2 linked regions of the Lonchura striata genome follow. The protein of the gene in region 1 interacts with the protein of each later gene in a pairwise test. Links are inferred from orthologs where the notes say so. Each region holds a gene or a part of one and is shown on either strand. Other genes may lie near its edges.

Region 1 (6,982 bases):
TTGTGGTAGGAAGGAATGCAGTTTCTGTGCCTTAAGGGTTCCCTCTGAGCTTCTGTTTTAACTCCCCAGCAGCAGAGCAGCAGTGCTTTAGGTAAAAGAAGCCCTTTGACCACTGGTATCTTTGTGCAGAATGCTTCGATTCCTCTGCCTTATGCAAAGTGAAGAATGTTTGGGTGCTGAGCTGGGCATTTGCGTATACAAATCAGTTTGGGTTCTTTTAGATTTACCTAGGTTTCTGAGTTTTGGGTGTCTGCTTTCAGAAACATAATTTTAGATTTCTTCTCTAGATATTCCCTATTCCATTTTTTCCCCACTCACCCACACTGTGCTTTCCTTTCTCTGCCAGCCTGAGCTATCAATTCCCAGCTCTTTGTTCAGCTTTTCTCCATGCCTAGATTCAGCCAGTAGATGCCTCCATATTTAGTAGATTCCAATTGCTTTATTCTCAATGTCCTTTTTCAACTTTGGCCCAGGTAGTTCATTGCTTCCTCTAGGGCCAACTTTTCTCACATATGCATCTAGTCATCTTCTCTTTATGTGAATGGTTCTCAGTTCCAAATTATTTGTTCAGCCATTTATAGCTTTTCCATCCCACATCCTCTTATGGTTTCAGTCTTATCACCAGTTCTCTTCCCTCCGCCCCATTTCTATCCCAGCTCCCCATCTAATACTCCTGTCCTTTGAGAATCTATTTCAAATCCCTCCCATATTACCTAGAAAAACCAATTTTCTCCCCCAATCCATCTTTCAATCCCACATTTTTACTTCCTCCTCCCTCTCAAATTGGTGTGATCCCTTCTCTCTCTGAAGTTCCAACTATTTGCCCCCCAACCTTTATTTTGATGTGCCTGAGGGAGATAACATTTGGAGCACAGGACACAAAGGCTGCTTGCTTTTGGTTCAAGTGTCTGAATTAAGTTGAAGTCCCACATTAGCCCTGACATAAAGGCATAGAAAACTCTGATGACCCCTGGACTGGACCCCACTGACCAAAAAAATAACTTCTTCAGAGGATGGAATGTAGAAAGTTCTCACTGAGCATATGCAGACTGCATTTTTTCCCCCATAGTCTAGAACATGCAGCGACTCAAGCTCTCTATCATGAAGCCAGTTAAAAGAATATCCCTGAAATGAAAGCAAGTTGCTGTCAAATATACTGAAAGAAGTAAAATATGGAGTACAAAGAGTAGGGATACAAAATGGCTGTGCAGAGGAAAGCTCAAATAAGCAGGACCAGCATTACCCAAATCTCCTAAGTCCCTGTAAACTCAAGTTCTGTCAATAAGGTCAAGTGGCTTTGCTCTGTACACACCCGCACTCTGTGATTCAAAAACTCAAAGGAAACAGTGAGGATTAGGTTGGATATTGGGAACAGATTCTTCACCCAGAGGGTGGGTGGGCACTAGAACAGAGCTCCTAGGAAAGTCACAGCAGGAGCCTGCCAAAGTTCAAGGAGCATCTGGACAACGCCCTCAGGCACCTGGTGTGAATAATGGGGCTGTCCTGAGCAAAGTCAGGAGCTGGATTTGATGATCCTTGTGGATCCCCTCCAGCTCAGGATATTCTGTGATTCTGTGAGCACTTCAGTGGATGAGTCCTGCGGGGTCTGTGCTTTGCACTGAGCCACCTCAGCTGTCCCACCAGTGCTGTCCCACCGCCGGCAGCAGGAATCTGCAGCCACTGAGGCAATTTTACTGCCTTGTCCTCAGAAACTGCCGAGCCGCCGAGGAGGTGGTAAATTCGTGACACAAAGAGGCAGAGAAACAAATAAACAGAAATAGAGACAAGAAATTAAATGGCATGACAGAAACTACCAGGAAAAGAAGCCCAAAATAGAAAAGTAATATATAGAGTTTCTGCCTGGATACCTACATTTGGGCAGAGTCACAAGCACCTAAATACATAGCCTTTTAATAAGAAGTTAGGTAGTCTTTTCCTTGGTTTTCTCTGTAGTTATCCAAAATTGCACAGCCTGTCACTGCAGGCCACCAATTTCTGTCATTTTTGAACTTGATTTTGAATTATGTGGTGAAAGACACTGTATGAAGCACAGAGCAATAACTTCAGTAATTCTTCCGACAAGGAAGAATTTTCCCTCTCACTCACTTTTTAAGCACAGGCCCTGAGACATCTATTACATGTTGCTTCACTGTTCTTGTACATTAGTTTCATCTGAATACAGGATGAAACTTCACACACTTGCTAAACAATTATCTAGTGTTGCAGTGCACTAGAAAGTAGTTATCACAATCCACTACACATCTGTTTTGGGTCAGTGTAAACATTGAAATTATATGTTTTATTTGCATATCAGTTTTGTTATTAAAAGTAGTAATATCATATTATATCACGTAATATTACATAATGTAATATAATATAGAAAATTCTAGAAAAAAGTTTACTATTGCAACAATGCTGCCACCTGGTAACCTAATGTGTAATAGCAGACAAAACATCAATTTTTCCCGGTCTTGAACATAGCAGTATAATTGAAATATTACTTTAAATCACATTAAAAATAACAAAATCTGCAAAGAGTTATTATTGGATTAGGATCATTTCCCTGCATCAGATTAAATCCTCATAGCTGGGTTTCATTGTGAGGAAGAAGTGAGACACAAGCCCTTTGAAAGGTTTCAAGTGAAAGCAAATAGCCCAGATTTCCTGACTCCCAGTGAAATACCTCAGGCACAAGACAGTCGCCAAATATATATCATGGTAACTTGTGCTCCACTAGAAACATAGGCAATGGAAAATAAACACAGGTGACATCCTGCCCATCTTCCTCACTCATCCATAAAAAATTGCTTCAGGGAAAGGGGAGGAAGCATTTGGCCTCAAATCAGAAGAGATATCAGAAGTGTTTCTTGCACGTTCACATTTGTCCTACCAGCCTACTGAGGGAGTCAGATGTGAAAGACAGACACAGAGCACAGTGACTGATGAGCTGCTTGCACACTGGTCTATTCTGAACTTCATGCCAAAAGAGGAAATACTTTTAAAATTTGTTTTCTACAAGATAGTAAAGCTGGAGGAAAAATGAAAACCACACCTTTTTTTTTTTTAATTATTTTTTCAATACTAGTGGTGGCTAAAATATGCTCTATGTTCAGCCTCCAGAGTTTTTCTAGCAAAGCTTAAAACTCAAAATTGATAAAACATCATGATAATAAAAGAATGATTGTCCACAGTTACTATTTTGCCATATGCTAAATATATGAATAAGTAAAAAGCAAAGATTGGAGCATGAAATGGCCATACAAGAATAATTTTCTAGTGAGATTTTCCCCCAGATCTTTTTTATATGATTAAGCAAAACTGAAACTTCTAGTGGTATAAAATAGAACCTTGGAATGATTTAAAAAATTATATTTAAAAGAAGAAAAAAAAAACAAACTTGCTAGTTATCAAGAAACGTATGCTGTGGATCAAGTGGGTGGATAGGAAGGGAGGACTAAAACTATATAAGTAGTGTCATGCTTTCTGCTTGTGACTGCAAATGTCAGTATTGTGTAAGTGTCTCTGCAAAAGAAAGTTCTTTCCTTAAAGTTCACAGTTAGTTCTACAAATACAGTCTTTGGCTGAAGAGCTAAAAAAAGAAACAACAAAACCAGTATGTGAGGGGCTGTTCAGCTCTGACCCAATTATGATAAAAACAAAAACTGAAATAAGTAATAAGAACGTAAGCAAATGCACACTTAGACTAAGCAGGTACCAGCACACAGGAGATGTAGCCATCAGATCTAGTTTGCTGCATGTGCTATAAACGTGGCAATACATGCCTGGAGCTAGAAAATGCACCGCACACGCGTGCAGCATCACACTGTGCTCTGGTTTATAGCAGCAGACCCGTGGTAGCCACTCCTGGGTGGCCTGAGCTCCCTGGCTCCTGGAACTTGGCTATATTTAGCCCGGCTGATGTCGCCTGTCAAGTGTGTCCTGCTGCTGATAAGGTGCCTAGTCGACAACGGGGGGGATCGAGGGGAGGAGCAGCATGGGGGCTTCCATCCAGTGCTTCTTTAGGGGGTCTCAAAAGCCCTGCAGTCACATTCCCGTGTGATTCATACCCTGCTTCCTAGATGCAGCTGGGAGCTCCACCAGAAACAAAGTGAAGATGCCAGAGCCGGTAAAGAAAACAGGTAAGGATCGTAACTGGCAGACAAAACTAAGAACAGCTTGACAGGAAAAGTGTGAGTAGATTATGTATTCTAGAGAAATGAGATGTCTCAATGGAAAAAAATAAATAGATAGGAAAAGGAAATTTTATTTTATTAAGTTATAAATGTAAGAGATATTGAGTGATCTTGAAAAGAAATCACTAACTGCTTTGATAACCTCAGCCACAGAATTTTCTCAAGAGACTTTGGATGAGGAAGAAATAGAGGTGAAATGCATTTAATTCTCAAATGCTTTTAATTTCTCCTTTCCTTTCTGGTCACCTTTAGGACTCAGAAAAAAAAATAAGTAAAGGCTTGTATTGACTCTCTTGGACAGTAAATAGTACAAACCTCTCCTGCTTTTATTTCGGGTTTGGGTTTTTTTCCCCTGACAATTTGTAGAAGAAATATTGCCAAAAAAATTGATGGTGCTTATTGTGAATGAAATCTCTGTGAAAATGAAAGCAAACAGTTCCTGGTCAGAGTTTATTCTTTCTGTTTATTTCAATGACTGAGAATAGAACTCTAGGGAAAAAAGGCTTTTGATTTATACTGTGAAGAATACATGCAATTTCTTTTCTCTTGCCCTTCTTCATTCTTTCTCCTTGAGCCAGAAGATAACTCGCCCTTTTCAGGAAACCAAGGTCACAGGGCCACATAGAAAAATGCCAGAAAAGTATTTCAGATTTATGAATGTTTTAATTAAAAATCTTCAAATAAGGAATCACTCAGATGCTGCCCACATAGAGGAGGCCTAGAACAGGGTACAAGGTGCAATGGATCTGCTGTTTTGATGAGGAAGAGAGCCTGGGAAGAAAAGGAAGAGGCACTTAACTTCAGGACACCTGCAGAGGAAGACATCTCAGGAGCACTTTGCATCCACAAGTTTGGAAAAAAAAGCTGACAAAATCTGAATTTATGATTGTTTGTCAATTGTAAACATATTCAATAGTCAGGCCTGGAGAAACTTGTACTAAATCTGGGATTCTCCACTTTAGAGCTGTCACTTCATTGATGCCAGTGCACACCCAGAATCGCCACTACCTGAATGTGCAATAGAAGGTGCACATGTTTTTAATCATGTGCAGTTTCCAGAGTTAGCCAGTGACAGCTGTGGAGTTTTTTTAATAATGGCCTTTGTGCTTTGCAAAGGCCTGAGCAGGCATTGGTCTCCTCTCAGTTTGGCCAGTGAGACAATCTCCTATGGTCACAATAACAAAAGAACTTGCTAAGAACCTTCATTTGACCAAAACATTTGAAATCAGCCACTGCCAGAGGCAGACCTATTACACACCCAGAGTCTCCCCCATTACAACCTGCAAAGCACCAAAGCATGGTTAACTCCAACAAGATTCTTTGTGTTCCTTCTGTATGATAACCCTAAAACAACAGTGATGTCAGCAACCCTTCCATTGTATTACAAATATAACATCATTTCATGTTCATGAGGTTACCATTTCTAATTAAAGTAGATTTGTATATAAAAAAGAAATATATATTAGATCCTGTAATTGTACACATAAACGTGAAAATATAAGCTGCAAAGGTTCAGTAATCACTCCAAAAATGAGAAAATCATACTCATATTCTGCTTTTAAATCATACAACTTTTAGGTTTTATTGAAAATGTCTCATTGTTGTGAATGCAGACAAAAATAAATACAATAGAGTAGGCAAAATTTGACAGTGATACCTTGGCATTATGACTTCTGATTTCTAATTGTTTAACTGCCTTTTAATAAATATTTTCATTCTCTGTGGGTGAGAGGCAGTGTCTCTGTTTGTGAAGATGCCCACTTTTGCTGGCTAATGGTGAAGGGAAATTCTATTCCAACTTATTTCTCCAGAGAAATCTAACAGGTGTCTAACATCACTAGTCCCACGCAGTTCTTATGAGCAAGCTAGACCAAACACTGGGATTATCACAGCAGGGGGAGGAAAAGCTCTTGTTACTCACTCTGACCGAGACAGAACCAGTCACATGCCCCACAACTTTTAGAGAGGATCTTCTCAGTCTCCCAGGAGACACTAATCCCTTTGGTTTTCTATTTCATGTTGTTTATACAGTTCAAACCATTTCAAGATGGGATAATGCTGAGCATCATCTCAGGAGGGCCAAATAACCACTGGGCAATTCATACTTGGATAAATCACAATTCCTGCCTTTCACACATCATATAGTTGGATTACTGAAGAGCCCAAAGAAATCCCTAGTCTGTATTACTGAAATTTGTGCATCTGGTGTATAGGCAAAAGAAATTTCTTCATGTCAAAGAATGACCATAAATATTCTGCTTATATCTGCCGTTTTTACAAGGCTTTTAACACATAAAAGGAAACAAACAACAACAACAACAAAAATAAAACCAAAACAACACCACCCAAAAACTAAATAAACAAAACCGCCCAAAAATTCCCACCAGAAAACCAAAAATCATTGAATAAACCATTAAACTTAAAATGGCATGGTGAAGTAGATATTCTTTCACTTTCAACTGCCCAACTAAAATACTTCAGGGTAAAGCACTCCATGACTTATTTCAAGAATGCCAAAAGTATTGTCTTTGCATTTTAGAAATTCTACACCATCCACAAGAGCAACAGAATGCATAAGACCTGTAAGAGTTTAGTGTCAGAGCAAACAATCAAATTTTGAAAATCACCACTTTTTGCAGGATTCTGTTGCAGAAACTTTATGTTCTTCTCTTTGATTTAAACTCTTCATAGTTTATCTTTGGAAATTTTGATCATTTTTTTGTTCTGAAAATTCAGAAATGTTAAACAAACCCCAACCATTTCCCTAACAATATTTTTGACATTAGGAG
Region 2 (7,531 bases), about 9.9 Mb from region 1:
CTCCACTGCCCTGTCACTCCAGGCCCTTGTAAGGAGTCCCTCTCCATTTTTCTTATAGGCTACTTCCAGGTACTGGTACAATTGTGTCACCCCAAAGCTTTCCTTTTTCTAGGCTGAGCACTCCCAATTCTCGCAGCTGTTCCTCATAGGAGAGGTGCAGAATGGATGCAAGAATCTCATCCTTTATTTGGAACTGATGTGTGGCAAATAATACTTTGGAGAGTGAGAGACTCAGAAGAACAAATTCCTCTGACTGCCACTCACCTCCACTTACACTGCCCGTGCCTAAACTTCTCAGCTTCATACCAAGATGCTTTAGCTGCATCTCTGACTCCCAGTGCCTACCCCACGATTTTACCCTTTCAGAACACACTTAAGATGTTTTAGGTTAATTATAGAAGTGCAGCAGCACATAAGTGAGTGAGAGAGACACAGAGATGATAAGAGCCTGTAATTATGTGAAGGGTTTAAATGCTGAGGAGACAAGGAATATATAAAGCATGAAACATGGGCTAGTACTAGGGTGGATGAGACATTACTAAGAAAGGGGAACACCCAGTGAAGTCTCTGGAAAAGTTTACCAGACAATGTAACTATTAAATTGGGAGACTCTTCTAGGAGAATGATTTCTCACTTGGAAGGTTCAAGACTTCAATATTTCGTGGGGAATAATTTCAGACTTGTGATGACTGCAGAACTATCTTCTCTGGCTTCTCTTGGTATGTCTGCATACACAGAAAGATTAATAATTGCACAGACATTGATAACAACACATGGCTCCTTCGTGACAGTGACTCTTTCATGACAGTGATTTTCACCATATATTACATGTTTGGCATTCTAGTCTCATCAGGACTTCTGCCTATCAACAAGACTGCTGCAATGCTGCTTATATTTCTAAAGACCATATAGCTTCAAACAGTGAGACAAAAGAGACAAAAGAAAACCTGTCAGAATGGCATTTTCTTATTCTTGAAAATGTTAAGTTTCTTTCAAAGACTACACTGGCCTGAGGCTTAAGAGAGGTAACATTTGGCTCTGTGCTAGGACAGATTTTATATGTCAACATCCATTGGATTTAGAAATAGCAGATTTTAAGTGAGAAGTTGCTGTAGAATCTGATAGGTCAGGATATACTGTATGTAGAATTGCTTGGTATATTATGAAAAAATTATTAATTTTATTGGGACATATACAGAAAAAAAATCATAAACTGAAAGGTTGAACTAAAAACTACAGAGAGGACCTGATCCTACACATTTGCAATTTCTGATCACATTGCTAAATACTGTAAATAATCGGAAGGTTTTAAGTGTTCTATCCTTTAAAGCTTTTAAAGACTCATGGCTATATTGTTAAGCTTTTGTAATTTATTTTTTTTTATTCAAAAGCTGAATAGCAGTTGTGAGGATTTCTAGGCAGTTTGTTCACATTTTTACCATGCAGAGGTAAGGACTCCTGTTCTGATTCTGGCTGCAGCCACAACAGTGTCTTGTTGGTTGAACAACACATCCAGTTTTTCCTATATGCATGTGTCCCCTATATATATGTACATGTCTCTCTATATATACAGACATACATGTATTTAATTTTTCTCCCCTATTAATAATCATACACATGAAGGCTTCATGCTCTGGTGTGCTCAGGCTGTTCTAGGGACATGCAGATCACGTCCACTGCAGATCTGTCTGCTCTCCAACACCCTGTACTGCCTGTTTCCCTGGTCTCTGGGGTCACTCCCACCAGCTAAGTCATGAGAAATGTACACAGCATGTGGGGGCCCTGGTCAGAGCTAGAGTGTTACTCTTCTAAATGACATTGCATAACATATCTCAGTAGGTTTTTGCTTCTCTGGTTTACTTGAGACTGTGATAACACTGTATTGAAGAAAGCAGAATTATTTTGGCCTATTGAATAACTTAGCTGGGCAATTTTCAAGTGGCTACAAGGAAGGAAATGATGTTTTGGAATTGCGTATGTTGTGTGGTGCCCTTTTCATTTGACCTTGCAATGTATGGGAGTGTGCTGGCGTGTGGATTGATGAGTTCTCAGGCTCACCAGGATCCTAACTGTGAATCCTGCTGGATTAGAATTGTAAAACTTGAGATAGAAGAGAAAGCAAAAATAATTAGACAGTAAACAAGAAAATCCAAACTGTTTCATAGATTTTTCAGTGAGAGCTGGCTCTGTCTCAGCTTCAGGAGAGCCTGTCTCTCCCTAGCCAGAGGGAATGTAGGATGTGTCAGAGAGGGTCTGATTGGGGAGGAATTCAATGCAGCTATCAGCAGTGGACTTCTATGTAAATACTGCAACACCTCTGAACCGAGCAACAGCTGAGATAACACTGTAAACTAATCTGTACTGCTGGCGAAGCTGGTCAATCCCTCACATTAAATGGTTTCTGTAGAAAAGATGTGCAAGGCAAAAAATAAGCACATTTAAACTATATATGGCAACTTACCATGGGGTAAAATATGCTGACTTTTTAAGATTAAGAGCAGTCTTTGGTATTTTTTTCCTTGAAAGGGTGCTCTGTGCCAGGGTATATATGCTTACAAATCCTTGCATCTGTATGAATTCTTGTATAAGCAGGCATCACTATCAACAAAGTATTTCCAAGTGTCTGTTTTGTGTGCCTGATCAATTTAGATGAACATATACTTGCTTGGGGTCTTTATCCCACCAGTATTGCTTTTGGTTGATTTTCCATCAAGGCAAAGCAAACAAAGAGCCAAAGCTTGTCCAGAGCAAAGGCACTGAATCAGTGTTTTGCTGCTTTGACCTTTTGAGGTCACTGCATTTCAAAGTCCTACACAGCCTTTCTTAGGTAGTTAAGAAAAAAAATCAATATATAAATAAATACATATACACACATATAAATACATGCATATAATATATATATGGGCATATATATTTATATATACTGATGTATTAAATATACATACACAACTCTCTACAAAAATGGTGTCTCACCTGGAACAGGTTCTCTTTCCTTGCAGCACTTAAAAGCAGGAGCTTATCCAAGATGTTTGTGGCTACCATCTCTTTCAGAGCTGTGCTCATAATCTGGCACAAACCCAAGATAAACTGGGGTTGGGGTGGAGCTAACCACCTCATTAATTGTGCTAGAAAAAAGGAAACTGATTCCACAATCTCTGATTTTAGAAGAAATTAAAGTCTGAGGGTCTCTGACGCCCCCTTTGGATACAGTTTAGAAACAAATAGGGATTTCCAGTTGTCACATGCTTTGTCTGAGTTAAACCACCGTGCAAAGATTGCTCTTCCCCCAACATTTCTCAAAGCCCCCAGACTGCAGCTTGTGTAGCATTCACAAGCTCCTTCCTTCCACATAATTTAAGACGTATACACCCATCTCATGTCTGCCAGCCTTTGTATGGCATCTCATAAGCTGGACCTGTGTTTAAGCAAATGATCCACTTGAGCGTTCCTCTCTTGATTTTGAATCTCATCATTCCCTCCTGTCCCAAACTTCAATTCTCCCTGCTGCATCCTAGCATTGTTTCACAGGCAGACATGGGGCATTTTACAAGATGAGCTCCTGGAGGACACTGGACTCCACATTATAGTAAGTTTCTCTGGGACATGAGTTGACAATCTCTGCTTTCACATACCAGGCCAAACCCACTCAAGGGATGCCTCTCCAGTCTTTCTATTTTTAACAAACAAAAAAAAAAGTCCTGAAGACACATGGATTTTCTAGGTTCCACCGCTGGAGCAAATTATCAATGTGGATGTTTCAACAACTGAGCAGGAAAACAACTGTCACATTACATTAATACCATAGCTGGGTTTTGTCCAATCTATTTCCATATCTCGTCCTCTGCCCTAGACATATCACTATCTCTTACAGATCTGGTGCGCGTTAAAAGAGCAAAGATGAGGAGTCTAAGTATATGCATAAGTGAGTACATCCCATTTTCAGCCAAAAGCAGAGAAAAGAGTGATTTTTGCAGCATGTCCTCATCAAAGTTTAAAAGAAATTGAGTGTGCACTGCTCCTTCCTAAGGCAACACAGAAGAGCAGATGCCGCCCCCACGCAGGAGAGGAGCCTCAGTTGTTGGCACCGAAGTAACCTAATCACTCGTTGATTAAATAGAAGCTCGACTGGGCTTTTCTTTTCGGTGGAAAAATGAAAAGCCGGGGGAGAGAACACCCGTGCGGCTTCCCTCGCACCCTCCGCCAAGCCCGAGCATCACGAGTTTGAGGCGCCGCACCTGGCCGGGCACCGGCGGGCGCCGAGCCCGGGGGCCGAGCCGGGCTGCGGCGGCCCCGGCCCGGCCCGGCCCGGCCCGGCGGCGCTGACCCCCGGGGGCTACGCTGGGCTCCCTATTTGGCCATGCGGCGGCCGGGGCCGCGCTGCCCCGCGCCTGCCTTACATGGGCCGGCGGCCGCGCCGCGCCGGGGCCGGCCCGGCTCCATTCATGGCTGCGCGGCCGCTCAGTGGCGCGGAGCCGACCAAATAAGGAGAAGGTGGCTGCCCCGGCCCGCCGCGGCCCCGGACGACGCTGCCCCTCGGGGGGTATAAATTGGGGCGTCTCCGCCGAGCCAGCACCCAGGGTCTCCTCCGCTGCCCCCCGCCGCCGGTGCTGGTCTGGTGAGTAGCGCGGCGGCACCCGCAGCCCCGAGGGACGGGCGGGGAGGCTTTGGGTGGGATGGGAGGGTCGGGACGGGATGGAATACACGGGAGGGATGGAATACACGGGAGGGATGGACAGGAGGCACCGCCGGGCGGCGGACGCCGGTCGTGCAGGCGCGGCCGGAGCTCGGGCGTGCAGCTCCCGGTCGGGAGCTGCTGCTGCCGGGACACCGCCCGCCGAGCGCGCTGGACAGCACCGATCTCTGCGATTTAAACAGCTTTCCCTCCCTTTTCGAGCTGCGGCTACAGGGGTCCGCTAATGACGCTCCAATTGAGCGTCTTGCAAGCTGGGGCTGCTTTAAAGCGCGGAGAAGAAAGCGGCTGACGGATCCGGTTTAGAGCCCTGGCCACGAGCCGTCGAGCATCCTCCCGGGATAACTCAAATTTCCCGCTCCCGCCGCAGTGATCCGGCCGTGCCCGCCGGGATGGCGGGCGGGAGGGCGCGGAGGGGCTGCCCGCGGGGCTCTGAACGTGCCACCGTGCTGTTTTCCAGGTTCGTGATTCCTTCCCAAGATGTGTGACGACGAGGAAACCACCGCACTGGTGTGCGACAATGGCTCGGGGCTGGTCAAGGCGGGCTTTGCCGGGGACGATGCCCCCAGGGCTGTTTTCCCGTCCATCGTCGGTCGCCCGAGGCACCAGGTAAATTCACTGGCAGGACACTCCATAAAAAGTGTTTTCTTAAATTAAAACATTTACAATTTGTATTTTTTTTATTCTGGATAAATTGCTGCTAAGGTTGCATAGTAATATGAAGTATTTTTGATCAGTAGAATGCTAATTTTCCTCTGTATTGTCCTGTTTACAAACTCCTTTGTTCATGATATTGTGCAGTTTCAGTCAAATTTTTGGAAATCAGAAAGAAACAAATAAGAAAAAAAACTATGTATATAAGAGGTGTATTATAAATGGGGGAACATCCATTCATCTCATGGAAGGAAAAAAAGATTTTATGAGAACCCTTCCAATTCCATTAACTTAATATTTTAATCATGTTAAATTTATTTTCCTGAATGGCCTTTCAGGGGTGTGACTGTTTGTTCCTTTCTTGAAAATAAGATAGCTGGAATTGTAGAATCATAGAATATCCTGGCTTGGAAGGGACCAACAAGGATCATCAAAGTCCAATTCCTGGCCCTGCATGGGACAGCCCTGGGTGTCACACTGGGTGCCTGAGACAGTTGTCCAAATTCTTCTTGAACACTGTCAGGGTTAGTGCTGTGGCTACTTTCATGGGGACCCTGTTCCAGTGCCCAATCATCTTCTGGGTGAAGAACCTTTTTCTAATATCCAGCCTAAACTCAACTTGACTCAACTTCAGGACAGTTGTATGTGATGTAGTTGTTTGGGCTGTGTTGTCTTCCTCAAATAATGCTTTTCTGTGTTTTCTTCTCTTAGGGTGTTATGGTTGGTATGGGTCAAAAAGATTCCTATGTGGGTGATGAAGCTCAGAGCAAAAGAGGTATCCTTACTTTGAAATACCCAATTGAACATGGCATCATCACCAACTGGGATGATATGGAAAAGATCTGGCACCACACTTTCTACAATGAACTCCGTGTGGCCCCTGAGGAGCACCCTACTTTGCTCACAGAAGCCCCCTTGAACCCTAAAGCTAATCGTGAAAAGATGACTCAGATAATGTTTGAGACCTTCAACGTACCTGCTATGTATGTGGCAATCCAGGCTGTCCTGTCTCTGTATGCTTCTGGTCGTACAACAGGTAAAATAAACAAATAAACACTAGATTCTATTTCCATTCAGGAACTCTCCTTCCTTTCCATTCCAAATAGGAAAACACACCATAGCTCATTCAATTTGCAGAAAAATAGGTATTTATGGTTTATAGCAATTAATGATTAAAATAGCATAAAAGTGAATACAAAACAGGTCACATTGTTCTTTCCATAGACAGTTTGCATTGCTTTTGGAGAGGCACCATGGAACTGACTGTGCTACTGCTTGTTATGGTGCAAACGAGGAGACATTCCTGTAGGGATACTGCAGTTACAGAAGTGTTACACCAGTTTAAGGGTTTAAACTGGTCCAAAAGATGCCCATTATCAGATCAAGACAGTCACTATAATATTACTACTGCTCAGTATAGTAGCAATGGAAGACTGGTCTTATGGATTATCTTAAAATATGTATGGAACAACTATTCTGTGTGAAAATTCATACCCCACAGGAATGTCCAGACAAGCAAAGGCAGAAAGAATTGGAATGATCTTTGTGACTGAAAAAGAATTATGCCACTTTATACTGCCTGAAAAGTCCTTTATTTTGTTGTGTTTCTTGCTGCTTCCTGTGTGTAAGGGCTCTAAGCATTCTCTAGGTGATTCCAGCTGCTCTCTGACATTTCTTTTCCAGGTATTGTTCTTGATTCTGGAGATGGTGTCACCCACAATGTACCCATTTATGAAGGGTATGCTTTGCCTCATGCTATCATGCGTCTGGATCTGGCCGGCAGGGATCTGACTGACTACCTCATGAAGATCCTCACGGAGCGTGGATACTCCTTTGTGACAACAGGTCAGTCCTTCAGCTCTTCTCTACTGAGAAAGTCCTCATGTCTCTCTTGGCTGATCATATTGTCTAGCATTGTGCTGATCCAAAGCTTGATTTGATTCTCCTATATCTACAGCGGAACGTGAGATTGTTCGTGACATCAAAGAGAAATTATGCTATGTTGCACTGGACTTTGAGAATGAAATGGCCACTGCTGCCTCTTCCTCCTCTCTGGAAAAGAGCTATGAATTGCCTGATGGTCAAGTGATCACAATTGGTAATGAACGTTTCCGCTGTCCTGAAACCTTATTCCAGCCATCCTTTATTGGTAAGTGTTCCCAGGAAATTCTCCTTTCTGTAGGAGGT

The links. The genes of interacting proteins can lie anywhere in the genome.
Region 2: the proteins of MYBPC3 (region 1) and ACTC1 interact in a two-hybrid assay, tested with the Homo sapiens proteins (2 studies listed by IntAct). The link is inferred for Lonchura striata from reciprocal best matches to the Homo sapiens genes MYBPC3 and ACTC1.

What each region holds. Positions count from the first base shown.
Region 1 is NC_134608.1:39,281,702-39,288,683, reverse strand, and holds the start of MYBPC3 (myosin-binding protein C, cardiac-type), read left to right. Parts: upstream 1-3,981; 5' UTR 3,982-4,114; coding exon 4,115-4,139; intron 4,140-6,982. UniProt on the Homo sapiens protein: Thick filament-associated protein located in the crossbridge region of vertebrate striated muscle a bands. In vitro it binds MHC, F-actin and native thin filaments, and modifies the activity of actin-activated myosin ATPase.
Region 2 is NC_134608.1:29,402,744-29,410,274, reverse strand, and holds the start of ACTC1 (actin, alpha cardiac muscle 1), read left to right. Parts: upstream 1-4,517; 5' UTR 4,518-4,615; intron 4,616-5,150; 5' UTR 5,151-5,170; coding exon 5,171-5,299; intron 5,300-6,055; coding exon 6,056-6,380; intron 6,381-7,027; coding exon 7,028-7,189; intron 7,190-7,301; coding exon 7,302-7,493; intron 7,494-7,531. UniProt on the Homo sapiens protein: Actins are highly conserved proteins that are involved in various types of cell motility and are ubiquitously expressed in all eukaryotic cells.